Linked DNA regions of Diceros bicornis minor. The protein of the gene in region 1 interacts with the protein of each later gene in a biochemical or structural test. Links are inferred from orthologs where the notes say so. Each region holds a gene or a part of one and is shown in the gene's direction. Other genes may lie near its edges.

Region 1 (7,130 bases):
CAGTTTTTTGCCCCCAGGATCTGCACTGGGGGAACAGGTGGTCACAAACCCCTCATTCTCCTCTCCCCGAGCCCACTCCCACCCCTGCTCCTTGCCAAACTCAGTCTTTCAAAACATGGGTGTCCTGAGCTTGTTACTCCCAATGCACCTCAAGGGCTTCCCACCACTGATGGGATGAAATCTATGCTCTGGGGCAAGGCCACAGGGACAGGGGGCCCTGTCCCCCAGTCTCATTGCTCCCTCCCTTTCCCCACACAGCCTGCAGGAAACTCTGGGCAGATTCCAGAACAGCTCCCTGGTCCACCCTGAAGGAGGACTCCAGGGCCCCAGGCCAGTTTCAATGCCTCTCCTTGGGCTGCCCCAGCCCTGGGCCTCCCCTGGCCAAGGTACACAGATCCCTGTTTCCAGGGGTCTCAGCGATGTTTCCCCGGTGCTCTCCAGCGCTTGGCACGAAGTGGTCCTCAAATGTTTGGTCACAAGTGCCGGGACACTTGGTGAGGGGCTAGGTTTCATGTTGCCTGGAGGAACCCTGGTCCAGATAGGTTAGTGCCAGGTCCAAGGTGAAGGAGCAGAGCCAATTAGGGGCTCGGCAGAGGCCCGGCTTCTCTGCCTACGCCTCCGCGGCACCCCTACGCCCCTGCAGTGCAAGCAGCTCTAGGGCGTCAGCCTCGCCGCAATCGCCACCCGGCGAGGCAGGGCTGGACCGAGTCGGAGCCATAGGGGCGGGGCCTAGGGCAGCCCCTCGGACGATGCCATCCCACCCAGAGCCGGGAGGTGGCGCTGCGCAGCTGCTCTTTCGGGCTACAGTCACCGCTCCGCGCCTCCGGCGATGGGCGGGCTAGGGGCGGGTCAAGGGCGGGGCCACTCTGGTCTTTGCATTCTCTCTCTCTCCCCCTCCTCCGTCCCCTCCCCTCCCCTCCCCACCTCGTCTCTAGGTATCTTGTTATCTCTTCCCGTCGCTGTGGTCCCGCCTGCTCCGATTTCGGGCTCTGAAGAGAGGCCTGGTGTAGTCTGAGGGAGGAGGCCATAAGTGAGGACTGGTCATCCCGTGGAGCCATTAATGCCCATTAGGGAGGAGGTGCCGGCCTGGGAAGCTCTGGGCCATTACCCGGGCGTCAGGCTAATGGCTCCATCCCCGAGACGGCCCCCAGTCCTTCCTCTGGCTGTGACCAGGCTTCTGCCCACCGCCACATCCCAGAGTCCCCGCCTAGGCGCAGGCTCCGCCCCACCCCTGGGGGCGTCGCAGCAGGGAGGTAGGTTCAAAGGTCAGAGGAAACTCCCCCTCCCCGCAACAGGATCACGGGGGCAAGCCCTCCCTGGGGTGAGCCCTCCCGGGGTGAGCCGTCCGACAACCCCGGGGAGGGAAGCAACGAAAGATCCACTATCCCTCTGTCCCAAGGCTTGCGCAGCAAGGTGGCAGGACAGGGATGAGGGCGCCAAGGGTGGGGATCCCCCAGACCTCTGACCACTTCCGACCCGACCTCCTCCTGCCCGCTGCTGGCCTCACTGATCAGCTAGCTCCCTAGCACATTCCCCAGCGACCCTGAGCAACTTACAGCCCCCAACACCTTTCAGCCCACACTCTGGGCCTTTGCCCTCTGTCCCTCTGCTTTGCTGCCTTTGCCCCTTTCTCTGTGCCTCTCGCCTCCATCACAGCGCCCCACGCCCGAGGCCAAGGCCAGAGGAAGAGGCCTGGGGGAGTGTGCCCAGGAGAGCTACTGGGCCCCCTTTCTTCACCTCTGTTATCCCAGGCCCTCCATACTGACCCCATTCCCTCCCTCTCATTCCTGTCCGCCCTTGGGAACTGTGACCTGCAGCTCTTCCCTGGCTGCCCTTATTTACTCTGTTGCTGTCATCCACTTCCTTTGTTACGCCCCCTTGTCACTCTAATGTTGCCTTTGTTACTCTGTTACCTTCCCTGCTACTTCCTCAGCTCCTTTTCTGCTTTAGGGCCTCCTTTGTTATTCTGGGATGCAGTGTTCCTGGCCCCTGTGACCACATGCCCCTGGCTATCCCTCCCTCCAGTGGTGTTCTGTTCCCATCCATCTTCACCCACAGGCTGAGTCCCGGGCTGCAGAAGGTGGTGAGGGCCCAAGGCTGATGAGGAGCATCTGTCCTACGGAGCGGGGAGGAGGTCTCCAAGCCTTCTGACCCAGGGGACCAGGGGACCAGGGGCCCCTACCTTCTCGACCCCCCAGCCTGGGGGTCTCCCATCCCTCAACTCCAGTGTGGCCCTGAAGCTACAGCATGGCACATTCTGGGTGGTCCTGGTTGCTATGGGGTGACCCCTAAGCCCCACCTGCTGTGGTATATGCTGGGACCGCACTGCCCGCACCCATCCTCACAGTCTCCAGGGGCAGCAGCACCAAGTTGGGTCCAGGGAGGCCAGCCACAGGCCAGACAGGCAGCCTCTGGACAGGCAAACAGACAGATGGAGGTGGCCAGCCAGGTGGGGGCCTATGGCAGCATCAGCCAGGAACTCGGAGTTGGGGGTGGGGGAGCAGCCGTGCAGCTTCGGCCTAAGTGGCTTTTAGGGGCAGCAGCTGGGGTGTGGACACCCAAGGGGCTGTGGCCCAGGAAGCTGCCCAGAGGCGGGCCCTGTGCTTGGCGGGGGCTGGGAGCCCAGGCTGAGGGCATGGAGAGGGGAGAAGGAGATGCAAGGACGGGGCCTGAGCCGACTCTTGCTTCTGCCCTCATGGGGAGCTGTCTGGGCTGGCTGTGCCTGCCCCCCCGGGGACCAGGTATGTGCAGGGGGTGGGGGGCCAGGGCTGGGGAGGGGCAGGGTGAGGGTGACCAGGTATGTACAGGGTAGGGCAGGGCAGGGCTGGGGAGGGGCAGGCTGAGGGTGAGCATGCAGCTCAGCTGTCTTCCTGTATCTGAGGCTGAGAATGAACTCCATGGTGAAGAGTGTGGATTTGGAATCTTACAGCCCTGGGCCCAGGAGAAGCTGGGGAACTTTGCCTGGGTCTCTTCCCTTTCCAGATCTCAGTCTCCTGATCTGTAAAATGGCCTGAGTCCCGTATGGTTGTTCCAGGTAAAATGCACTCAGGCGCAAGGAAGCATAAGTGATTCTGCATTGTGATTATTATTGTCCAATTGGGGGAAGAGGGCACTCATGCTGTGGGGTGGGAGTGGGGGCTGCTGTAGGGGAAGGGGAGGAGAGAGGGAGGGGAGGGCTGGGGTGGAGGAAGGGAGATCTGAAGGGGTCTGAGAGCTCAGACACCGAACTCCTCAGCACATTTCATCCCAGGTCAGGAGGAGGGTAGCAAAGACTCTCTCATCCCAGCCAGACAACTGCATTTCCTCCCTGCACTCCTTGTAGTCACAGACCAGGCCTGGGATGGGCAGGGGCACGAGCGAGGGGCCCTGGCAAAGTGAGGGGATGGTAGGGGGAATGTTTAATGGATGTATGCAGCACAGATAGGCACAAACACTCCTGAAGGGGGTAGGGGAGTCACCCAGTCACTGGCCTCCAGGTTATAGGGGAGGGCTGCTGCCATATCACTTTCAAATCCCTCTTTTGCCTCCTGGAGTGTCCTGGACTCTGGTCCCGGCCAGGGCAGCTCCGGGCGCAGGAAGGATCCAGATACACAGACAGCTGGGGTGGGGGTGGTGGTGGTGAGGGGGCTTCCCAGGAAGGTGAGCAGAGCTGTTGCCTTTGTTCTTACCCTCTGGCCACTGTGTAGGGTCCCTCGGCCTGAGGACACTTTCTCCACCCCCTCCCCCACCTCAAGAGCCCGCCTCCGTGCTGGTGCCACGCATACCGTAGGTGCTCAATAAAAGTTCCTGGAATAGGAGGCAAAGGCGCTGGCGCCAAGGAGGCTGCCCAGAGTGGGGGCGAGACCAGCGGGTCCCGGTGATTCGGGGTCCCCTGGCCCTGCAGTCCCCTACTTCCTGCGGGCTCCCCCGGGCTAGCGGGACGCCAAGGCAGGGGCAAGGCCACGACTGCTTGGGCCCGGGGCAGAGGGGGCGGCCGGGCGGAGGGGGCGGGGAAGGGGCGGGCGCGGGGGCGGTGCCGCAGCCTGAGCCCGAGCCGGAGCCCGAGGCGTCGGGAGCCGAGCGGGAGCCGCCGAGGCCGCCGCCGGGTTTCCAGCGCCGCCGCCGCTGCCGCCTCCGCGCCGTCCCCGCGCCCCTGCCTGCCGGCGGCGGGCGTGAGCGCCGTGGCCAGCTCGGGGCCGGCGGGTGGGCAGCCGGCGCCATGGCCGCGCCGGAGCCGCTGCGGCCGCGCCTGTGCTGCCTGGTGCGCGGCGAGCACGGCTACGGCTTCCACCTGCACGGCGAGAAGGGCCGCCGCGGGCAGTTCATCCGGCGCGTGGAGCCCGGCTCCCCGGCCGAGGCGGCCGCGCTGCGCGCCGGAGACCGCCTGGTTGAGGTCAACGGCGTCAACGTGGAGGGCGAGACGCACCACCAGGTGGGTGCCCGCGCCCCGCCCGCCGGGCCCTCCCCGGGGAGCGCGTCCCTGCCCCGCGCGCGCAGGGGGCGCTGAGGACCACCGGGCTCGGCGCCGCCTGCTTCCAGGCCTCGGCTCCCTGCCCGGGGCCGGGAGGGGGTTGCACAAGGGCCTGCGTGAGCTCCCCCGGGGAGGTGGGGGACGTGGCCACGGAGGCAGCGGCCGCCGGCCTCCTTCCTAGCCTCCCCCCCCAGGAAGCTCAGCCCTGCACCGCGGAGAGCGGGGGGAGATCCTGGCAGGGAGGGGCCCGCACTGCGGCTCTTGGGTCCTTGGCCCTAGTTTAGTCTTGTTTTGGACTCCCTGTGCCATGTGTGGAGGTGTCGGTTACCTTAGGGGGGTTTCCATGCAAGTGGGTACCCTGGGTGCTTTTCTTTGAGTGTGTAGACATGCGCGTGTGTACACAGACAATGTGTGTGAGTGTGCAGGTCCCTCTGGGGATCACCCAGATGTGCATACATTTATCTGTGTGTACCTGGGAGGTGTCACAGTAAGGGCACACCTGTGTGTGCGTGTATCAGTGAGTGTGTATGTGTATGTGTGTGCTGGACTGTGTGGGTGAATAGACAGGTCTTCACCCCTAGATGTGTGTGGATAGATCTGCATGCCTGGACGTGTGTGAGAGCTGGGCTCTGTGTATGTGTTGGACTGTATGTATCAATATACAGGTCTGCATGCCTGGATGTGTGAGTGTGGATAGAGCTGCATGCCTGGATGTGTGTGTGAGCTGGGCTGTGTGTGTGTGTGTCTGCCGGCCCGGCTGTGTGTAGTCATCAGTGTATGTTGGCAGGCCAGTGCCCTAGTGTGTGTCCTGGCTGATGGTGTCTGGGTCCCAGTAGGAGTCGCTACTGCTGGCAGCACATTCCTCTCTGTGGAGGCTGCTGGCCCTGCAGGGGTCACTGGCCACAGACCCTGCCCCCTGCAGCTGGAGATGAAGGCCAGAGGGAGGGCAGGGTCTCCTCTCTGCAGGTTCTGACCCCTGGAGGGGGGTCCATCTCCACTGGCCAGGGGCTCACCTGGCTTGGGTCCAGCCTCCCTCCCCCCTTCTGCTCCAGGGTCCTCTGTGTCCCCCCAGCACTATGAGTTTCTGACCCGCCTGTGTGGCCAGCCCTGGGGCCTAGAGATGAGTTCTTCTCTGGTTCTTCACTGGGCCTGGAGCTGAGCTCCCACTCTACCCTTGGGGCCCTTGTCTATCCATTTGTTTTTGCGGTCCTTCTGTCTTCCAGCCAGAGTGTCAACTGGATGAAGCTGTTTGCTGAAGGAGGATAGGGGTCAGGGCCAGAGGATTTGGCCTGACAGGCCGCGGGGAGGGGCTGGCAGAGCTGGTGCCTGGCCTCTGCGTAGCAGTCACTGTCACCCTTGCCCCAAGAGCGCCTGCTTATCCCAGGCTTCTGGGTGCTGGTCTCCAGGAACTTCACACACAGGACCACGTGGGTCGCTCTCACTGCCCCAGGAAGGAGGAGATGCAGTTACGGCTCCCATTTTGCAGATGAGGAAACTGATGCTTGGAGATAGTGGGTGACTTGTCTGGGTCCCACAGTCAGGATGCAGCAGGGTGCTGGGGTCCTCCTGTGGCTCTGTGGGTCACAGGGAGAGAGGAAGGACAGGAGGGGCAGGGGGTGGGGGGAAGGTGGGCCTGGTCTAGACCCTCCTATCTGTTGACAACTTCTGCCAAGTAGCTGATGGGGGTCCCGTCTGCCGTCCTCCAGGCCTTGGGGTGGGGGTGTTGCCCTTCCTACCCCAAAGCCCAGTGGGCACTGCCCCTTCTCCTGCAGGGCACGCACTGGCATGCATGCTCCATGGCACCCACATGCACCTGCAGAGACACACAGATGTCCATAATGCCACACTCGTCCTACAGGTGGACCTGCCCCTCCCTGCCTCACCTGCTGGGTCTGAATCCTGCTTACTGAGTTGTGTGTCGGTGCCCACGGAGGTGCCTTGTGGAAGGCCTAGAGGCAGGGGTTTAGACTTCCTTGCTCCACCACTGAGAAGGACAGAATTGGGCACAGACACTCAGACTGGGACCCAGGGAGAGAGTTCTCTCCCTCCAACCCAGACCAAGAGAGACCCTGAAACAGATGGATGTACGCCTGCACACAGACGCGCGCGCACACACCCACACACGCACACTGAAAACCTGAAGCTTGGCCGTGCACCATCTTTGTCACTTCCAGACCACTGCCTCCCCCAGCTTCCTGGTCTCTCCTGGAGAAGACCCTGGGCTGAGGCGACGACCCTGCAGCCCTGGCATCCTGGGCCCCAGTGTCAGGAGCTCTGGGAGAGGAGGGAGGGAGCGGCTGGAGCCCGGGGGTGGGGGGTGGAGCCGGCGGGCCTCTCGGTCCAGCCGCCCACCCCTGGTAGGCCAGCCGCCTGCCTGCAAGCCCAGGCGAGCCCTGGGTGGTGCCACTGTCCATGTGCTGTCTGGAGTGTTGGCCGCTGACCTGCTCCTGCCACCTGCCTGTCCCAGGTGGTACAGAGGATCAAGGCTGTGGAGGGGCAGACTCGGCTGCTGGTGGTAGACAAGGAGACGGACGAGGAGCTCCGCCGGCGACAGCTGACCTGCACCGAGGAGATGGCCCACCGAGGGCTTCCGCCTGCCCACGATCCCTGGGAACCAAAGCCAGACTGGGCACGTGCAGGCAGCCTCGGCTCTGAGGCTGGCCAGAAGGTATGGGGGGCT
Region 2 (7,960 bases), on another chromosome or scaffold:
TCCCGACGCACCGACCCACCACTTGTCTGGCCATGCTGAGGCCGCGTCCCACATACAGCAACTAGAAAGATGTGCAACTATGACATACAACTAGCTACTGGGGCTTTGGGGAAAAAAAGGAGGAGGATTGGCAATAGAAGTTAGCTCAGGGCTGATCTTTCTCAATAAATAAATAAATAAGAATTTTTAAAAAACAAAAAAAGAAAGTAGTAGTAAAGTGTGTAAGACCTGGGGAGAGGTTCCTCTGGGGATGCGGGCCCTAGAAACATGCCCCAGCAGTTGGGGGTGGTTTGGGGTCAGCCGTCTCACGTGCTGGGCACTGGGGGCTACGGCTGGAATGTGCTGAGCGGCAGCTGCCACGTCAATCATTACACCTCGTCAGGCTGAGCCTGGGACTTCCAGACACAAACCAGCTCGGGCTGGGCTCAGGCGGAAGGGTGGCCTCCAACCATGGTCTCGGGGCCCTGGGTGAGGTACCAGGATCTTGCATGGTCTCTTCCTCCCCGTCTGTCCACATCTTCACCCTCAGTGTCCAGGGGCAGCCCTGGTTCTGCCACAGCTCATTCCACAGAAACACAGAGGGAGGTCATCCTGTCCACCACCCCCGTCTCTGTGACCTGTAACTGCATAAGCAGGTCCTGAGCCTGGGTGGCACTAGGGGGCCAGCCACAAAAGGGCTTCCTGGCTGGTTTCCCACCAAGAGCCCACGTTCCAGTGGACAAGGAGTCAGATATGGTGTGGCTGTGGGGCTGCAGGGGTCAAGATGAGGGCTGGGTGGAATGAGGATTCCCACATCTCTCCTGGCTGAGGGACATTGGATACCTACTGCTGGGAGGTCAGGCCTTCTCAGGTCTCAGTTTTCCAGTCTGTGACCTAGGTATGAACTATCGTCAGCCTCTATCTGATTTCTCCAGGTGCCCAAAACTTGAATGAAGTCACTCATAGGGGCTGTGCTCATACCTTGTGGTGGCCTGAAATTTCTGAGATGTGGAAAAGGCCAGAATGGGCAGACAGGGACACAGGAACAGACAGAAGGAGAGTTAGTCAGAGAGAGGCTTGGCAGGGCGAGGAGAGGACCACTGAAGCACACACACACCTGAGGAGCTAAGCTGGCCTGGGTGCCTGGCAGGCAGACCAGTGGAGGGGGAGGAGGGCCCAGCCCAGGGCACCTGAGCACTGGTGTGCTTGGACCTGCCTCTGTTCCCTTACCAGGGGGCTGGGACAAAGTCCTGGGCTGGTGCAGGGCTTGGTAAAAAATAATTAATTTTTCTTTTTAAGTGAAAGCTCTGACTCAGGCCTTTTCCTGTCCCAAACAGAAACATCTTTGCTTAGGCCTGAACCCACAGAAGCTGCTCAGGACTATCCATGGCCTCCCCACGGCCAACCTGAATCTGCTCTGCGGCTACAGGCCCTACTTGGAAGGCCTTGTGGGCTCCAGGTGAGTGGGGTCCAGAGGGGACCTGAGCGCAGCTGGGAGGGGCAAGGCTGTGTGGTACCCCACCGCGTTAGTGTGTGTGTACCAGTGCAGCGCCGTGGGGCAGACAAGGCACGTCTGCATGGAGATGTCTGTAGACCTGGTGTTACCGCAGCAGGGGGCCTATGACCATGTGATCTGAAGGGACAGGAAGCCCACAACCCCAGCCGCCCTGAGAGTGCTCCTCACCTGGGACAGAGCCTCCTGGCCCCCTGTGCCCCCAGCTTCCCTCCCTTCGTCTTCCTGAGAGGTGAGAAAGCCAGGCTTCCTGCTGCAAGGGGAAGGGGCTGCCCAACCAGCTGCTGTGGGAGCCTCCAGTGACTCATCCGGGTGGGGGGTGTTTATGAGCAGCCGAAATGGCTGTAAAAGTGGCACCTCGGTTCACTTACGGCCTGGCCATCCCCTCCCCTACCAGCCCCTTGCCTTGAAAAGCTTCCAGAGGGGCCTGGAACGGGAGAGAAGTCTGGGATTGAGGCTTGGTGGAGGCTCAGCCCAGGGTCAGGGTTCAGCCAGGGGTTAGAGGTCAGACTGGGATAAGGACTCAGCCTGAGGGTAAAGCTCAGTCTGGGATTGGGGTTGAGATTGGGGTTTAGGCTGACTTTGGGACTAGGGTTGGGGGACAAAGTGTCGGGGGTCTGTGGGCCAGTTTTCCCAGACAGCCCTCAGGCTGTGGCAAGGGGTTTTCTGAGGGAGTGAGGCCAGGCTGCCCAGCTCAGAGGGCTGAGCCTCTGTCTTTCCTATTAGAGTCTGGTGCCCACCATGGCCCCAGGGTCTGTGTACCTTGGCCAGAGCCCTACTCACGGTGGCAGTGGTGGTAGCAGAGGCCTGTCAGCCTAGGGCTGCTGCACCAAAGTCCAGCCCCTGCTCCAGTTCTGAGCTCCAGTGACCACCTTGGCTCCTCCTCCTAGGCCCCAGCCTGGGGATCAGAGACCAGAATCCCCACTGGGACTCACTCCCACTCCCCACCCCCAATCAGGCCTTTCCAAACCCCATTGAAACTGACCTGAAACTAACCAGAAACTGACCCTGGGGCTCTGTCAAAAAGGGCAGGCTGGCTTTGCCAGGCACTGGGGTGCTACCAGTTAATGTGTGACACCCCCACCCCCATGGTGGCACTTTAACCAGAGGCCTGGGGGCGAGTTAGGGGATCAGGGGCCCCACCTGCAGTGGTGGAATGTCTAGCAGGGGACTCTGGGGAGAGGCACATGAGTTATGGCTAGGGAACACCCTTAGGGGCCCAGAGCACATCAGACCCCTCTCTGCAGCCCTATCCACAGCCCACCCTGGTCCTCCTAAGTACAAATATTGTTTGCTTCCCAATCTCAAGCTTTCTGGTGTCAGATCTGAGAAGGACTCCCTCCATGAGCCCCTCAGTTCTGCCAATCCCTCCGTGAATGGTCTTTTCCTATCACCGCAGTGGGGGGAGAGGGGCGCGTGGTCAGTAGTCATCAAACCATAAAACTTAGAATAGAATCGATTAGAAACAGACATAAAGTGGAGACCATCAAAATATAACACTGAAGAACCACAAGTGTTCTCTAGGTGCCCACTCTGGGCACCTGGGCCTCTGTCCCTGTTCCCAAGGAGCCCACACACCATAGGGGGCACCCCCCAAATCACAGCCCCAGCAATGGAGGAGATGGGGACACAAGGAAGGAGGGATGGCCTTTACACCAGGCAGAGGAGCGCGATCCTGGCAGAGGAGACTACAAAGGCAGGCAGGGGAGTGAACATGGGGAGAAGGCCAAGAGTCTTGTGGACAGTACCTGCTGGGGACAGTCATCTTTGGAGGAAACTGCCTCAAACGACACACTCCTTAAACGCCAGGACAAGAAACTTGAGGGTAATGGGGCACGGAGGAGGGCGGGGCCATAAAAATGTATGGAGAGGACAGTTGTGGGTATAGTCTAGGAGATGGGTGGTTTGAGCCTGGAGAGGGGTGAGCTTGCCAGGAAGGTTGGCTACAGCTGGATTCCAGTGGCCTTAGGGGCTTGGGCTTGGGGACTCATTCACGTTGAGGGGAGGGGCCATACCAGAGATGAGGGGCAGATTTGGGGGCTTTGAGGAGCTTAATTTCTAAAAGCTGAGTCTGGGGAACCCCCAGAGCCCATGGGTCTGCACACCCACCTTCAGAGGCACTAAAACAGTGAAGTTGTGTCCTCTGAATCAGCTGGTCAACTCCCCATCTTGCAGATGAGGAAACTGAGGCCCAGACAGTGGGAGAGTCGTCGTGCCCAGGATACACACTTGGTAAGTGGGTGAGCAGGGGCTGCTGCTTAGCCCAGATGATATTTCGCAGGGCCCCGACAGTTATATTAGCTTCCTCCTCAAACCTCCGCTCCAGGCGTCCCCAGGCCCATCGTGCACCTTAGCTTCCCCGTCTGGTACTGAGAGGTGGTAGGCTTGAGGTCCGAGGCCCACTCCTCTTAGCGCTCCGACGTCCCCTCGGCGGCCCGGGAGTATGTAAGCCCCGCCCCCATCCAGCCCCTGCCCCCAAAGACTCCTCCCGCCCCTCCCCGAATTGACGGTCCGCAGTGGACCAGAGCCCGCCAAGAGCGTTTGGGGGTGTGAAGGGGTGGGAGAGGGAGGCGGAGCCCGATGGTGGGGGTCTCGGCCGAGCTCCGGGTCTTAGCGGCCTTGAGAGGCCCGAGATGGAGTCAGGCGTGGAGCTGGAAAGGCCAGGCCGGCGTCTGGATGGGTCGAGACTCGGAGAGACCCGGACCCGGGGAGAGGCTGGGGAGGGAGAGAGAGGGACGTGAGGAGGGAGACCCCGGCAAGGGCGGGGGTGGGTCTCCGGCTCAGCCGAGCGACCCACTCCGGAGGTTCCCGAGGCTGGGGGTCCAGGCGAGGGCGGGGCGGGGCGGGGCGGCGGCGGCGGAGCCAAGCTCCGGGCGGGCGGCCGAGCAGCCTCTCCCGGGATCCCGGTCCAACCCGAGCGGGAATCCCGCGGGCGAACGAGCAGCGCCGCGGCCGGGGGCGCGCAGGATACCTCCCGTGAAGAGGGCCTGCTTCGTGGCTGAAGGCCCCCATTCACCAGCCTGGGCCGGACGATCAGAAAAAATAACGTCTGTGCCTTCCCGGAGGAGAGAACGAAGCAGCGGCAGCGTCCCGGGCCCCGTTCCCGAGCCCCGATGTCAGAGCTTCCCGGGCCCCGTCCCCTCCACACTCACATCCTGCCGCTGTGCGGCCCCGGGCCGCGGCCTCTAGAGAAATGTCCCGGGGCAGGGGGCAGCGGGCTCCGTCCGCTCGGCCGCTCCACACATCGCGTCGGAGGCGACGGAGAGGGGCGGGGGCGGGAGAGGCCCAGAGAGGGCGCGGGGGAGGGAAGCGGCGCCCGGCCGCGGGGGGAGGGGAGCGCAGACGCCGAGGCGAGGGACGCGCTGGGCGGGCGGCGGCTCGGAGCGGCGGCCGGGCGGGGGGCGCTGGAGGCCAGGCCGGCCAGGGAGGGATCCCGGGAGCTCCATGAGGTACCCCCGGGGCCGCGGACGGGGCGCTGTCCTGGGGAGGCTGTCGGGGGGTCCCCGACATCCATGGCTAGACGGGGGCCGCGGCGGCGCGCTCAGAGTAAGTCAGGGTTGGGGGCCGGCGCCGAGGGGAGGAGGCTGGAGGTGTGTGGGGGTGACCCCAGGCCTGACCCGGGCGGGCAGGCTGGTCTGTCTCGGTGTCAGTCGGCGGCGCCTCCTCGGAGCCCGGTGGAGCCGCCAGCCCCGCGCCGCTCGGCTCCGTGGCTTTTTTGGAAACTTGCAAATGTTTTCGTAGAGAGAGAAGGAGGAGGGGAGGGAGGGAGCGAGGGAGTGACCGAAACGGAGCTCGGGGCTGCTGGAAGAACGGAGGCCGAGGCCAGGGGAGCTAGAGACGGACTGACAGACAGGCAGACAGACAGAGCGTCCCGGCCGCAGGCGCGCTCCAGCAGCGCGGGCGCAGTCGGGGCTCCGGCCGAGGATGGGGAGGGGGTGCCGGAGGCGGCCGCGGAGGGGATGGGGATCTGAGGGGGCCGAGGGGCAGAGAGCTGGCGGCCCGATCACCGAAGGGCTCAGTGTCGTTGCAAAGTTGGGATCGCATCCCCAAGCTGCACACCCCGAGCGGCTCAAAACGTGCCCCTAGCCTCGCCCCGCCCCCCCCCCCACTTGCGTTAGCCGCGGAGCTAAAAATAACAGCCCGTTCGCCCCCCGCAGACCGCGACCCCAACCCCTCCCCCGACCCCTCCCCCACTGGGCGTGGGGCGAAGCCACAGCTCCCAGTTCCCCAAAAGAAAAAAAAAAGAAAGAAAAGGCGGCGGGGGGGGGGGGGCAGGGGGCGGGCCGGGGGCGGGGGGCCCGGCCATATGGATGTGATTTCTCCGCTCCGAGGCAGACGGGCAGCTCCGCAGCGCTCGGCGCCCGCCCGCCGCCCGCCCGGCCCCCGGCTGCCTCCCTTCCTCCCTCCCTCTCTCTCTCCTTTGCGCTCGCTCGCTCGCTAAGCTCTCGGCGCATGGGCCCCGCGCCGGGCCCCGGGGCCTCGGGCCGCCGGGCCGCCGGGGTCCCCTAGGCCCGGGCGTGGGCGGGGCAGCCGGGCCTGACGCAGCTCTGTACCCCACCACCACCACCACCAGGGCCGGCGGCGGCGGCTGCCCCGAGGGACGGGGCCCTAGGCGGTGGCGATGGGGGCCGCCCGGATCGCACCCGGCCTGGCGCTCCTGCTCTGCTGCCCGGTGCTCAGCTCCGCATACGCGCTGGTAAGTCCCCCGCCCGCACTCCAGGACAGGCTGCAGGCTTGCTCTGGGGTCCCTGAGGTGGGTCCAGGGCGCAGAGTCTTGGGTTCCTCAAGTAATTTGAACTTGGGGTGGGGGGTCCCCTCTGACCCAGGATCCTCGATGCCTGCTGTCTCTGGGGTGTCTGGATTCTGTGTTCCAGATACCTAAGGTCTCCCTATTTCCGAAGCCTGGGTTTGGGGTCTCAGGTCTGGAAATCTGTGGTTGGGGTTCCCCTAGCTTCTGCTTCTGTGAGCACCACTGCTCTGGTTTAGTCTCCCGGGAAGACGAACTAGCAGAAGACTGGGCTTTGGCCTTCATGTAGGGTCCCACAGACTTTGCTGTGGGGGTCTCTGTTTTCTGCAAGTTTTGTTTGCAGTCTGGAAGGCAGGGTTGTGAGTCGGAGGTCTGAATCACCCAGGCAGGGGGTAGGATTTAGGGACCCCCTCCAGCTCTCAAGATCACATGCGTGCACACATGCATGCACTCATACCGAGCTTTACCCAGAGTGGAAGCTGTTTGCCCAGGGAGGCGGGTGTGGTGTGGCATGGAGCAGGAATGGAGGTTTAACTTCACAAAACACTCCTACAGGAGAAACACACTGGAGGGGGACTGGGTGAGTGAGGGGACCCCTAGCAAGACAGGAGGACTCCCATCTGTACCCTCATGAGAGCAGAGGCCAAGAGGGAACCAAAGAGAGAAGAGACAGAATGGGAGATGACGCTAGACAGAGGGAAGAGAGAGACAGAGACAAAGAGAAGTAGAGATGGGAGTTCGTCAGAGCGGCAGGCGTAGATAGACCAAGAAGAGCAAAGAAAAATATGGAGTGACTGGGAGAGCGCAAGAACTGGAGACACAGAGGGGCAGCAGCCTCCTCATCTTGGGCCAGGGTCTGGGGGCCATTTCCTGGGGAGTCAGTCAGTCAGATCCCACAGCAGCCCAGTCCCAGGGGACCAGCCCATTGCTGAGGAGGCTGTGTGCCTGTGTGTCTGACTTGAGGGCCCCTGCTGCTTTCCCCGCCACCTCCCAGGTAACGGCATCTGCCTTCTCTAGAGAGAGATGGGCAGGCAGCTTCCTCCTCCTGTAAGCTCCCTACCCAGGCAGAGCCCCAGGTGGGAAGGCAGGAGCTCTGCGATTCCTCCGATTCCTGATTCCTCCATCTCTGTCTGATGCCTGCATAACCTTGGGCTGTCCTTCCTCACACCTCAGTTTCCCTATCTAAAAAGACAGCAAGAAAGAAACTTTTGCCTAAGAATCCCCTGATCTGAGGCTCTCCTTTCCTCCGTGGGCCTCAGCACGCCCCACTCACTGGTGCCCATGCCCTTATGACTCTGGCTCCCCAAAGCCAGAGACATCGCCCCTTACAAAGGCTTGTAGATGGGGAAACCAAGGTTCAGAGACATTCCAAACACTGGTAAATGCCAGGGCCCAGAGCCATTTCCAGGGTGTGTGAGCATAGCCATTGTGCAGAGCCAGCCAGCATGGTCTGTGTGCACATATGTGTGCATGTGACTGTGGAGGGACAGACAGGGTGATGGGCCTGGGTGTCCTGAGGGTACGTCAGGGTGTCAGAGCAGAGCTCCGTGGGACTCTGGGCATTGTGTTTTCTGGGTCTGCATGAGGGTGAGTGTCTGAGTCCACATGTGAGCTCATGTGTGTCCGAAACTGTGGGTCTGCACAGGACTTGCAGAAGCATAGTTGTGTGTGCATTTGTGAGCACATGTGCACCCAGGTCTATTCTTTTCTTATTTTTATTT

The links.
Region 2: the proteins of NHERF2 (region 1) and PTH1R interact in a test that uses a peptide from one of them, tested with the Homo sapiens proteins (2 studies listed by BioGRID and IntAct, with this or other methods). The link is inferred for Diceros bicornis minor from reciprocal best matches to the Homo sapiens genes NHERF2 and PTH1R.

The regions. Positions count from the first base shown.
Region 1 is NC_080765.1:46,385,747-46,392,876, reverse strand, and holds the start of NHERF2 (Na(+)/H(+) exchange regulatory cofactor NHE-RF2), read left to right. Parts: upstream 1-4,089; 5' UTR 4,090-4,198; coding exon 4,199-4,411; intron 4,412-6,917; coding exon 6,918-7,118; intron 7,119-7,130.
Region 2 is NC_080741.1:48,268,854-48,276,813, forward strand, and holds the start of PTH1R (parathyroid hormone/parathyroid hormone-related peptide receptor), read left to right. Parts: upstream 1-4,896; 5' UTR 4,897-5,004; coding exon of another isoform or gene 5,005-5,038; intron 5,039-5,799; exon of another isoform or gene 5,800-6,065; coding exon of another isoform or gene 6,066-6,113; coding exon 6,114-6,188; intron 6,189-7,960.